Macaca fascicularis: one gene and its partner. The protein of the gene in region 1 binds, or shares a complex with, the protein of each later gene. Links are inferred from orthologs where the notes say so. Each region holds a gene or a part of one and is shown in the gene's direction. Other genes may lie near its edges.

What was found. The genes of interacting proteins can lie anywhere in the genome.
Region 2: METTL3 (region 1) and WTAP share a complex: the UniProt entries of both Homo sapiens proteins name them as parts of the WMM complex. The link is inferred for Macaca fascicularis from reciprocal best matches to the Homo sapiens genes METTL3 and WTAP.

What each region holds. Positions count from the first base shown.
Region 1 is NC_088381.1:89,184,360-89,190,037, reverse strand, and holds the start of METTL3 (N(6)-adenosine-methyltransferase catalytic subunit METTL3), read left to right. Parts: upstream 1-2,202; 5' UTR 2,203-2,312; coding exon 2,313-2,412; intron 2,413-5,678. UniProt on the Homo sapiens protein: The METTL3-METTL14 heterodimer forms a N6-methyltransferase complex that methylates adenosine residues at the N(6) position of some RNAs and regulates various processes such as the circadian clock, differentiation of embryonic and hematopoietic stem cells, cortical neurogenesis, response to DNA damage, differentiation of T-cells and primary miRNA processing.
Region 2 is NC_088378.1:11,244,301-11,249,306, reverse strand, and holds part of WTAP (pre-mRNA-splicing regulator WTAP), read left to right. Parts: intron 1-1,420; coding exon 1,421-1,479; intron 1,480-3,005; coding exon 3,006-3,133; intron 3,134-5,006. UniProt on the Homo sapiens protein: Associated component of the WMM complex, a complex that mediates N6-methyladenosine (m6A) methylation of RNAs, a modification that plays a role in the efficiency of mRNA splicing and RNA processing.

The sequences.
Region 1 (5,678 bases):
ATTAGGCTTACACTCTGTTTTGACTAGAAGAAGTCTGTCTGCATTTTTCCTTCCTCCTCCTCCTCCTCCTCTGTGGCTGCTGGGCTGACAAGAAAGCAGTATCTTTCTTTTGAGCAGCAAACTGGTCAAGAGGAGTCTAAAAAGAATCTCTCTATAAGAATATCATAAGAGACCTTCCTGTACTTCAAAAAATTTGCCCAATATGCCACTGTAATAATTTACCCAGAGTTAATGTGAAAGCAAAAACTTCTGAGAGCTGCCCTTGATTTGACTGACTTTCAGGAGTACTTGTGCTACTTCTTTGCACCACTGCCCTCCAGCAGTGAAAGAGTGAGGCTTATCTTAATAAAACAAAAACAAAAAAACAAAGTTACACATCCCAAAAGACAGTGTAAATTCCCTAAAAGTAAATTAAGTTCAGAAAATGAGATGGAAATGAGTATTTTGATCACTACTAAATCTCCATAGTATCTAACACATAGTAGTCACTCAATACTTACTGAATGGATAAAAGTCATATTACAATCTTTCAATAGCTCCCTTCATATTCACCCCTTCCTTTTCATTACTGTTCATAACCAGCTTTTAGTTAAAGTTCTTCTCATCAGACACTTAGTTACAATGGACTACTAACCATCTTTCTCCTCTCCTAAATCTCCTTCCTCCTCACTTCAATTTATCTAGAACAGTAGATCAATTTTGAAACATTTCTATTTACAAACTTTAATTGTTTCCTATTGTATTCTGAATAAATTGCCAAGTCTTTACTCAGGTACCATGTACCTTCTGCAATCTGGCCTCAAATTTGGGAACCTAAAATTTCTCCCAATATTCCCAAATACAAATCTTTTATGTTCTGGCGAACTAATCCGGATTGACATAACACACACCGTGCTTTCCTACCTCTAGTCTAGACCTTTGCCTTTATCATATTCTAGACCTGGATTTCCCTCCTATACCTTCACCTACTGAAAACTTAGCGGTCACTTCAAGCCTGCACCTTGATGCCAGCTTCTTTCCAATGTCTTCCTGGGTCCTTAAACTTGCAGTCCTCCTCTTCTTTGAAATTACGTTTGTTGTTGTTGTTGTTTTGTTTTTGTTTTTTAAAGAGTCTATGCTCATGCTACCTCATGCTGTAAAGATGGTTCAGTATTAATAAACTGGCTCATAGCTCCTTTACCAGATCATAAACTCTTTGAAAACAGGAGCCATGCCAGTCAAACTATTTTTTTTGTATTTTTTGGACACAGTGTATGGCATCATGTAGACATTGGATAAGTCAGTGATTCTGGAAATGTTTCCATTCAGGGAGCTCCATTAAAAAAAAAAAAAAAAGGCCAAGCCGGTGGCTCACACCTGTAATCCCAGCACGCTGGAAAGTCAAGGCAGGCTGATGACCTAAGGTCACGAGTTCAAGACCAGCCTGGCCAACATGGTGAAACCCCATCTCTACTAAAAATACAAAGTTAACTGGGCGTGGTGGCAGGCGCCTGTAATACCTGCTACTAGGTAGGCTGAGGCAGCTAGAATCTGGGAGGCGGAGTGAGCTGAGATCACACCACTGCACACCAGCTTGGGTGATAAGAATGAAACTCTGTGTCAGGCCGGGCTCAATGGCTCACGCCTGTAATCCCAGCACTTTGGGAGGCTGAGGTAAGCGGATCACGAGGTCAGGAGTTCGAGACCAGCCTGGCCAACAAAGTGAAGCCCCTGTCTCTACTAAAATACAAAAATTACCTGGGTGTGGTGGCACGCACCTGTAATTCCAGCTACTCTGGAGGCTGAGGCGGGAGAATCACTTTAACCCGGGAGGCGGAGGTTGCAGTGAGCTGAGACCACGCCATTGCACTCCAGCCTGAGTGACAGAGTGAGACTCCATCTCAAAAAAAAAAAAAAAAAAAAAAAAATCTGTACTATACGGTGTTGCTCTTTATGAGTGCTATTTTAACATAGGTTACCTCTCAGGACTCCTCTCCGAATATTCAACATGGCCGCATGCGCGTCTATAAGCAACATGGCCGCTCTGCCAGTCACCAACATGGCAACCACAGCCTCACTGTGCCCGGAAGCAAGAGAGAGCAGGTAATAAAGACTATATTGGCCGCTCTGCCAACACCTAACGTGGCTCTCTTTAGAGCTTCCAAGAAAGCGCGACACCGGAAATGACTTTTCTGTCTTGCTCATCTCTAGGGGTCATTTTCCGGTTAGCCTTCGGGGTGCCCGCGTGAGAATTGGTTATATCCTGGAGCGAGTGCTGGGAGGTGCTAGTCCGCCGCGCCTTATTCGAGAGGCGTCAGGGCTGGGAGACTAGGATGTCGGACACGTGGAGCTCTATCCAGGCCCACAAGAAGCAGCTGGACTCTCTGCGGGAGAGGCTGCAGCGGAGGCGGAAGCAGGACTCGGGGCATTTGGGTGAGGCACTGGGCTGCTGGGGCCGAGGCTCAACTGGGGAGGACGGGCGGGATCCCTAGAGAAAAAGCTCCAGAGTTACTGCCCTTTACCAAACGGCCATTTCTATAAAGCCTCGTACATTGGTACTCCATCTCCCCCTTCAGCAGCACAGACCTTCGCCCTTCTGCAAGTAGTTCGCTGTTCCTCCTCACCCTGGGCCTCGGTTCTTCTTGCTCACTTCTATCGGACGGATGCTTGAGCCCCACCCTCGTCCTCCTTGCCCATTCCTCTTTAGACTACGAGGACGTCGCCTTTGTGAGGCTTCTCAGCCCCCTATCCCACGAAGCAGCAAGAACCCCTTTTTGTTGCTGCTATGGCGCTTTGTTCCCTCAGTTACAACGACTATTTTGTAGTGGTCATTTTTTGGCACCTGTGGGTACGGTAAGCAAGGAATGAACCTTCATATCCACAGTGTCCAATTTAGTGGCCCGTACAGAGTGGCATTCGGTGTTTTTGAATGAGTACCCCTACCGGCATTGTCTTAGCAATTTACATACCTAGCAGGAACCTGAAAACATTTGTGTTTGATTTCCAAACTTTTTCTCCTCTCCTGTTGCCCCTATGTCGCGATCATAAAACTTGAAGGAAATTTAAAAGATTGTTAAGTTCACTCTTATCCACTCCTTACCCCCAGGACAAACTCTGAATTATTTAAGGCAAACTAGTAACAAAGCTCTGCAAAAATAGTGACTCAATATCACCCTTGTGATAGATTGTTCCAATATTTGTCAGTATCTTCAACTCCATCTCTAAATCTTGTCTAGATCATGTTAGGTTCATGTGCTCATATTCTGGCCCCTAGAAATAGAAGATACACTGGCAGGATCCTCTCACCTAATTAATTATCCTTTCTTAGCTACAGTGTTCATGGGTCTAACTAGACAAAAATAAGTAAGAAATTGCCCCTGTCCTCAAGAATTTTAAAAACCATAGGATTCAAAGGTAGATGCTTACAAAAAGGAATATGATAGGATATATGTATGAAACCAAACGAATGAATCTACATTCTGTACAGTGAAGAGAACTAACAAGAGCTGGTGTAGGTAGTGAAGCCATCAAAGCCATCATAGTGGAATTGGCACTTGAATTTGGCCTTTATGGCTATATAGGACCTAGATAATTAAAGAGGTAAGAGGGGAGGATAGTAGAGTAAGAAGTGCAAGTCATTTGATCAGGCAATAATTAGTAGTCAAGTCTCGGAGTAGTTCCTGAATTACCTAAGAGGCAGAGTTTTTTTTTTTTTTTCCTTGCTCTAGAAACTTCATTGATTTATTTATAGATACAATTTTTTGTTTTGTTTTGTTTCCCCTATTCTTTGGTTTTCTGTTTTGAAACTTTTTAAAAATGTGCATAAATGATGCCAGCGACTTTTTTTGCTTCTGTTTTTGAGATAGGGTCTCTCATCGTTGCCCAGGCTGGAGTGTAGCAGTCCTCCCAGCTCATCCTGTGAGTAGCTAGGACTACAGGGGCATGCCACCATGCCTGGCTAATTTTTAAATTTTTAATAGCGATAAGGTCTCATTATGTTGCCCAAATTTGTCTTGAACACCTGGGCTCAAGCTGTCCTCTTGCCTAAGCCTCCCAAAGTGTTTGAATTACGGGTGAGAGCCACCATATCCAGGCTATTTAATTTTCTTGTGGAATCTTTTCCCTTTCAGTAATGGCAGTTGCAAAAAGGGACCTGAGGATCAGGTAGTTGTTTGTTTCAACAGAGTGATCTGCAAAATTATTTAGTTAGTTAGAGACAGAGTCTCCCTCTGTCACCCAGGCTGGAGTGCTGTGGCATGATCATGGCTCACCGCTGCCTTGACTTCCCAGGCTCCAGCAGTCCTCCCACTTCAGCCTTTCAAGTAGCTGGGGCCACAGGCGTGTGCTACCACGCCCAGCTAATTTTTGTATTTTTGGTAGCCGGGGTTTCACCATGTTGCCCGGGCTGGTCTCTGAACTCCTGAGCTAAAGCAGTCCACTCGCCTTGGCCTCCCAAAGTGCTGGGATTACAGGCGTGATGAGCCACCAGGCCTGGCCTACAAAATTAACTTTTAAAAAGCCACTATATTGGTGTACTACATCATTGATTACTTTGTGTTCACGTTTCTGTCGTTTTGTAACAGACCATCCTCTGTCTGTGGTGGTGGTGGTTGTTTCTTGGTTTTAATTGTTCCTCATCATACTTATTTTCTTTTTTTGAGACGGAGTTTTTGCTCTTGTTTCCCAGGCTGGAGTGCAATGGTGCGATCTCAGCTCACCGCAACCTCCACCTCCCAGGTTCAGGCGATTCTCCTGCCTCAGCCTCCCGAGTAGCTGGGATTACAGGAATGTGTCACCACTCCCGGCTAATTTTGTATTTTTAGTAGAGACAGGGTTTCTCCATGTTGGTCAGGCTGGTCTCGAACTCTGGACCTCAGGTGATCTGCCCGCCTCGGTTTCCCAAAGTGTTGGGATTACAGGTGTGAGCCACTGTGCCGGGCATCGTACTTCTTTATACTTTTCCATTTCTAAATTCATACTCTTTCAATGAATGATTCTAATTGTTCTTGGTCATTTTAAGCTTCATTTCATTTTTCTTTTTTGTTGTTTTTTGTTTTTTTGGGTTTTTTTTTGAGGCGGAGTTTTGCTCTTGTTGCCCAAGCTGGAGTGCAATGGCACGATTCTCCTGCCTCAGCCCCCCGAGTAGCTGGGACTACAGGTGCATGCCACCACACGTAGCTAATTTTTTTGTATTTTTAGTAGAAACGGGGTTTCACCGTGTTAGCCAGGATGCTCTTGATCTCCTGACCTCATGATCCGCCTGCCTCGGCCTCCCAAAGTGCTGGGATTACAGGCATGAGCCACTGTGCCCGGCCATTTCATTTTTCCATGATATTAGCTACATTTTGGTATTAGCCAAACTTTTTGCTGTATCAGACCTAACTACTAGAGCCTTGATACTTTCATCCAGGTCCTTGCTAAACATGTTTAATATTTTTGACACTAAGACTGTATTCTCCCTGCATGTAAATATCCTTTTTTATGTTTATTTTTTCTTTTTTAGATATGAGTATCTCTTGACTTGTATATCTAGCTAATAATATAGCTAAGACCCTTTTTTCTGTGTGTGTGTGTGAGACAAGAATCTCATTCTGTTACCCAGGCTGGAGTTCAGTGACATGAACACAGCTCACTGCAGTCTTGACCTCAGGGCTCAAGTGATCCTCCTGCCTCAGCCTCCTCCTGAGTGGCTAGCACCA
Region 2 (5,006 bases), on another chromosome or scaffold:
TAGTGTTTATATAGAAAGTGGATTAGTTTGGTATTAAGAAGGTTTTTCTTTTTTTGAGACAGAGTCTCGCTCTGTCGCCAGGCTGGAATGCAATGGTGCAATCACAGTTCACTGCAACTGCCGCCTCCAGTCAAGTGATTCTCCTGCCTCAGCCTCCCAAGTAGCTGGGACTCCAGGCATGCGCCACCATGCCCTGCTAATTTTTTTGTGTTTTCAGTAGAGACGGAATTTCACTGTGTTGGCCAGGATGGTCTCGATTTCTTGACCTCATGATCCGCCCGCCTTGGCCTCCCAAAAAATCCCCTGTTGGGATTACAGGCGTGAGCCTTTTTGTTCATTATGTTGTAACATTATTAACTCATGGCAAGCCTGTTTTTAAGATTATAAAATGGTTTTCTAAAGCCAAATTTTAATTAACTGTACCTGAAGAGCAGCTTGAAAACATGGCTCTTAAGTATGCAGGAGAACAGACATTCAGGGCAGGGTACTTTCCATTAGGAACTGCCTAATAAGTCTAGGAAAAATCTTTATTGCTAAGAGGACTTAGCAGTGTATATATTCAGGGTAGAGAAGTATAATGAAGAAAAACGGTGCCCTTGTATTCCGATAGCGTGTGGCATGCAGGTTTCTGCCAGTTAGATGTGATTGTTAAATTACAGTCTTGAAAAATGTTGTATTCTCCCCCTGTGTTTACAGGCAGAAATGGATATTACCTTGAGAAGAGTCACATGGTATTTTCACAAAAGAGCCAAAAAACCTTCAATTCTACATAATTAGGCACATTTCTAATATGCCTTTTGTTCTAAGGGGACAACATATGAAAGTAGCAGTAGGATTTTTTTTTCTATAATCCAGGATTATCCTGAACATCACCAGTGATACCAAAGTATCAAACCAAATCTGGAGTTTGATCTCACCCAGAGCACGCTTGGCATGTTCTCAGCAGAAAACACCTTCTCTATATATCTCCTTTTACCTGTTTCCTGTAAAATGGGAAGGAATAATGAGTGGACTACTTTATTATCAGTTAAACTAGATTTGGGCCAGGATGTGGTGACTAAGGCCTGTAATTTCAGCAGTTTGGGAGGCCAAGGTGTGAGGATCATTTGAGCCCAGGAGTTCAAGACCAGCCTGGGCAACAGTGAGACCCCCTCTCTACAAAAAATTAGCCATGTGCCTTTGGTCCCAGCTCTACAGGAAGCTGAGGCAGGGATATCGCTTGAGCCCAGACCCTGTTTGTGCCACTGCACTCCAGCCTGGGGGACAGAGCGAGACTCTGTCTAAGAAAAGGATTTAAAATGAAAAATCATCCAGCAGAATGCTCAGTATTACTAAAATCTGTGAGTTTATAGATATCTTCTAGTTTATTTAATAAAAGCTATTTTATTATAACAACTAATGTATGGATTTTTTTTATTAGATGGAAACAATATGAAGCATATGTACAAGCTTTGGAGGGCAAGTACACAGATCTTAACTGTAAGTTTGAGTTTTAGCTTCTTAAAGACTGAATAATCTCCTTTTGATCGTTGTTACAATCAAAAGGGTAATTGGTTTTATTAAAGCAAATGTAATTTTTCTGGTGTTTTATTACAAGAACTATACAGAGGCACTTTTGGGTGCAAGAAAATATAAAGGTGAATGAGACATAGTCATTGGAGAAAACAGACATGTAATACTCATGTAATGGCGTGACTTAGCAAAATTATATGCAAGGTTCTGAGTATAGATACAGTAACTCAGAACTACTTGAAACTTTTCTTACCTGTCCCTAACCCCTTCTACATAGGAATTTGACTTGAAGCGTGAGTTACTAGTCTAGAAGAGAAATAAATAGAAGCAACTAGTAACAGATTTATGACAGGTTAAATTAATATGTATAACTTAATTATATGTAATATATAATTACAGATTTTTTAAATCTGCTGAAAATAACAAAGTTTATCATTTTAAGCCATTTTAGTCTCAGTTTTTACTGTTTGAACCACATACTATTTGTTGAGTATAAAAACCAATATATATTGTTTTCTAACTTCAGAAGGGTTAATACCCTGAAATTCTAATTTTACGTGACTGTGTTATCCAAAGAAATCATGAACATTATGAATGATTAAGGCTGGGCACAGTGGCTCACACCTATAATCCCAGCGCTTTGAGAGGCCAAGGTGGGAAGATACTTGAGCCCAGGAGTTTGAGACCAGCATAGGCAGCATAGGGAGACCTTGTCTCTACCAAAAAAAAAAAATGAGTCAGGAGGATCACTTGAGCCTGAGAGGTCAAGGCTACATACAGTGAGCCCTGATTGTGCCACTGGACTCCTGTCTGGGTAACAGAATAAGATCCTGCCTCAAAGTTTAAAATACAAATTGTCCAGCAGTTACTATCATATTATTTATTTGTTTGTTTATCTGAGACAATCTCGCACCGTCGCCCAGACTGGAATGCAGTGGCACAATTTGGACTTAGTGCAACCTCCACCTCCCAGATTCAAGTCATTCGCCTGCCCCAGCCTCCCAAGTGGCTGGGATTACAGACATGCACCACCACGACCGGCTAATTTTGTATTTTTAGTAGAGATGGTGTTTCACCATGTTGGTCAGGCTGGTCTCAAACTCCTGGCCTCAGGTGATCTACCCGCCTCGCCTCCCAAAGTGCTGGGATTACAGGCGTGAGCCACTGTGCCCAGACAGCATTTTTATATTAAATAGGTTAAAACATACTCATCAGGATTTTGTGCATACTGTAAAACACAAATGTTTCCTGTCTTCTGTTGGGAATAGATGAAACTATGAAAACATAATTCAGTTGGTAGTCATGGAGCACTATGACACCTTGCCTTCTAAATGAGCTGTCATGACCAGGAAATAATTTGCTTGTTATAAAAGTAGTTAGGATGGAAATTAAAGACTTGATTAATTTTTTGACCCTAGTTTTTAATTGTTCTTGACAGAAGTATTTGAACTTGATCTTAAAATTATATTTATAATTATTTTTTAAATCATCAGCTAATGATGTAACTGGCCTAAGAGAGTCTGAAGAAAAACTAAAGCAACAACAGCAGGAGTCTGCACGCAGGGAAAACATCCTTGTAATGCGACTAGCAACCAAGGAACAAGAGATGCAAGAGTGTACTGTAAGTATTTCAAGTTATATAAATGTCTTTAGTTGAGGAATTGGTTTTTAGTCTGCCTTATTGCTTGTTAATTTTAAACACCTAATACTAAATATAAGAGGTTTTTTTTTTATAGGTATGTACACTTAGAGCGTTAAGTATACCAGGTGAAAAATTTTGATAATGTCTCTTCATTTAAACAAATTTTTTTTTTGGCCAAGAAGGCAATAGTTTTAAGTTGTGTTTTGAAATTTTCATGCATTGTGAATATTAGTTCATCAATTCCAGACATTTTTCAGATATCTTGGTGTCTGAGGGTATAATCAATAAAAGAGCATTTGCTCCTTATTGCTTTACTTTCACTGGTTAGGAAAGCCATCTGATGACTTTACCTCTGCTCTCTTGTCCCCTCTATGTATAGAACTGTTTTTCCTAGTGCCAGCAACTTCTTCAACGTGTCCTTTTTAATTGTTAGAACTTTGATGTGTACTGTGTAGTATTTACTATGTCTATGTAGATCTGAAATCTAGTGACATAATTGATCATCCAGCTCTGGTAGTTTAGACTCAATCTTACAGTGTAATTATACAAAATAATTAGAGGCAGCTGTATCCTTGTTTCTGATTTTAAAATCTGAATGTTTCTTCAATTCTTTGGGTACTCTCCATTCATTTGATACATATTGAAGTCTTCTAATGTGTTATTAAAATCTTCTAAGGTAGTATTCTGATCACTGGAGACAGCAAAAATCTATGGGCACAGTCCTTTTCCTGTTTGTTTTACCAATAGAGTGTTCCTTAAGGCCCAGTCACAGTCCTTTTACTTCCTGTACAGAGATTGTTTAAATTTCCACAAAAGTACCTATTTACTCTTTCACTTTTTACTAAATGACTTCTTTACATTTTGCTTTGCTAAAGGCTGACTTTTATCATTTTCTTTCCCTTTTTTTTGTTTGTTTATTTTTGTTTTTGTTGTTGTTGTTTTAGTTTGTTGTTATTTCCCCCTTTTCTTGAGACAGGGCCTCTTATCCATGCTGAAGTGCAGTGGTATAATCCTAGCTCACTTCAGCTTCCTGAGTAACTGGGACTATAGTCACGTGCCACCAAGCCTAGCTAATTTTTTAATTTTTGTAGAGATGGGGTCTTCCCTATGTTGCCCAGGTTGAACTCCTGGCCTTTGGCAATCCTTACTCCTTGGCCTCCCAAAACTGTTGGGATTATAGGTGTGAGCCATCACACCTGGCCCATTATCATTTTCTCTACCTTCTCACCACATTTTGTTCTTTTGTTTCTGTCAGTTTTGTTGTAATTCTCACACCACTGATACTTTTTTCTCCAGTTACTTATGAATGTTTTTTAACAAATTTCCCTTTTCACGAAAAATGGATCTTACCTTTAGACTGCTAGCACTTGGGAGATAGATTGTGAATAGATGGTGTTGATGGTAATATCTCATAGGATCGGAATGTCTTTTTCCTTTTCTGTTCCAGATTCCTACTCTTGACATCATAGTTGGTGTGTGCTATTCATGCACCTCTGATTCTCCATCTGTCCTATATACACTGGCGGTTTTGATCATATTATGCCTGGTCAGGGCCTTTGGTGATACCTCATCACTCTTGTCTGCTTGACCTGGAATTTTTTTTTTTTTTTTTTTTTTTGAGACAGAGTCTCGCTCTGTCGCCCAGGCTGGAGTGCAGTGGCCAGATCTCAGCTCACTGCAAGCTCCGCCTCCCGGGTTCACGCCATTCTCTTGCCTCAGCCTCCCGAGCAGCTGGGACTACAGGCGCCCGCCACCTCGCCCGGCTAGTTTTTTGTATTTTTTAGTAGAGACGGGGTTTCACTGTGTTAGCCAGGATGGTCTCGATCTCCTGACCTCGTGATCCGCCCGTCTC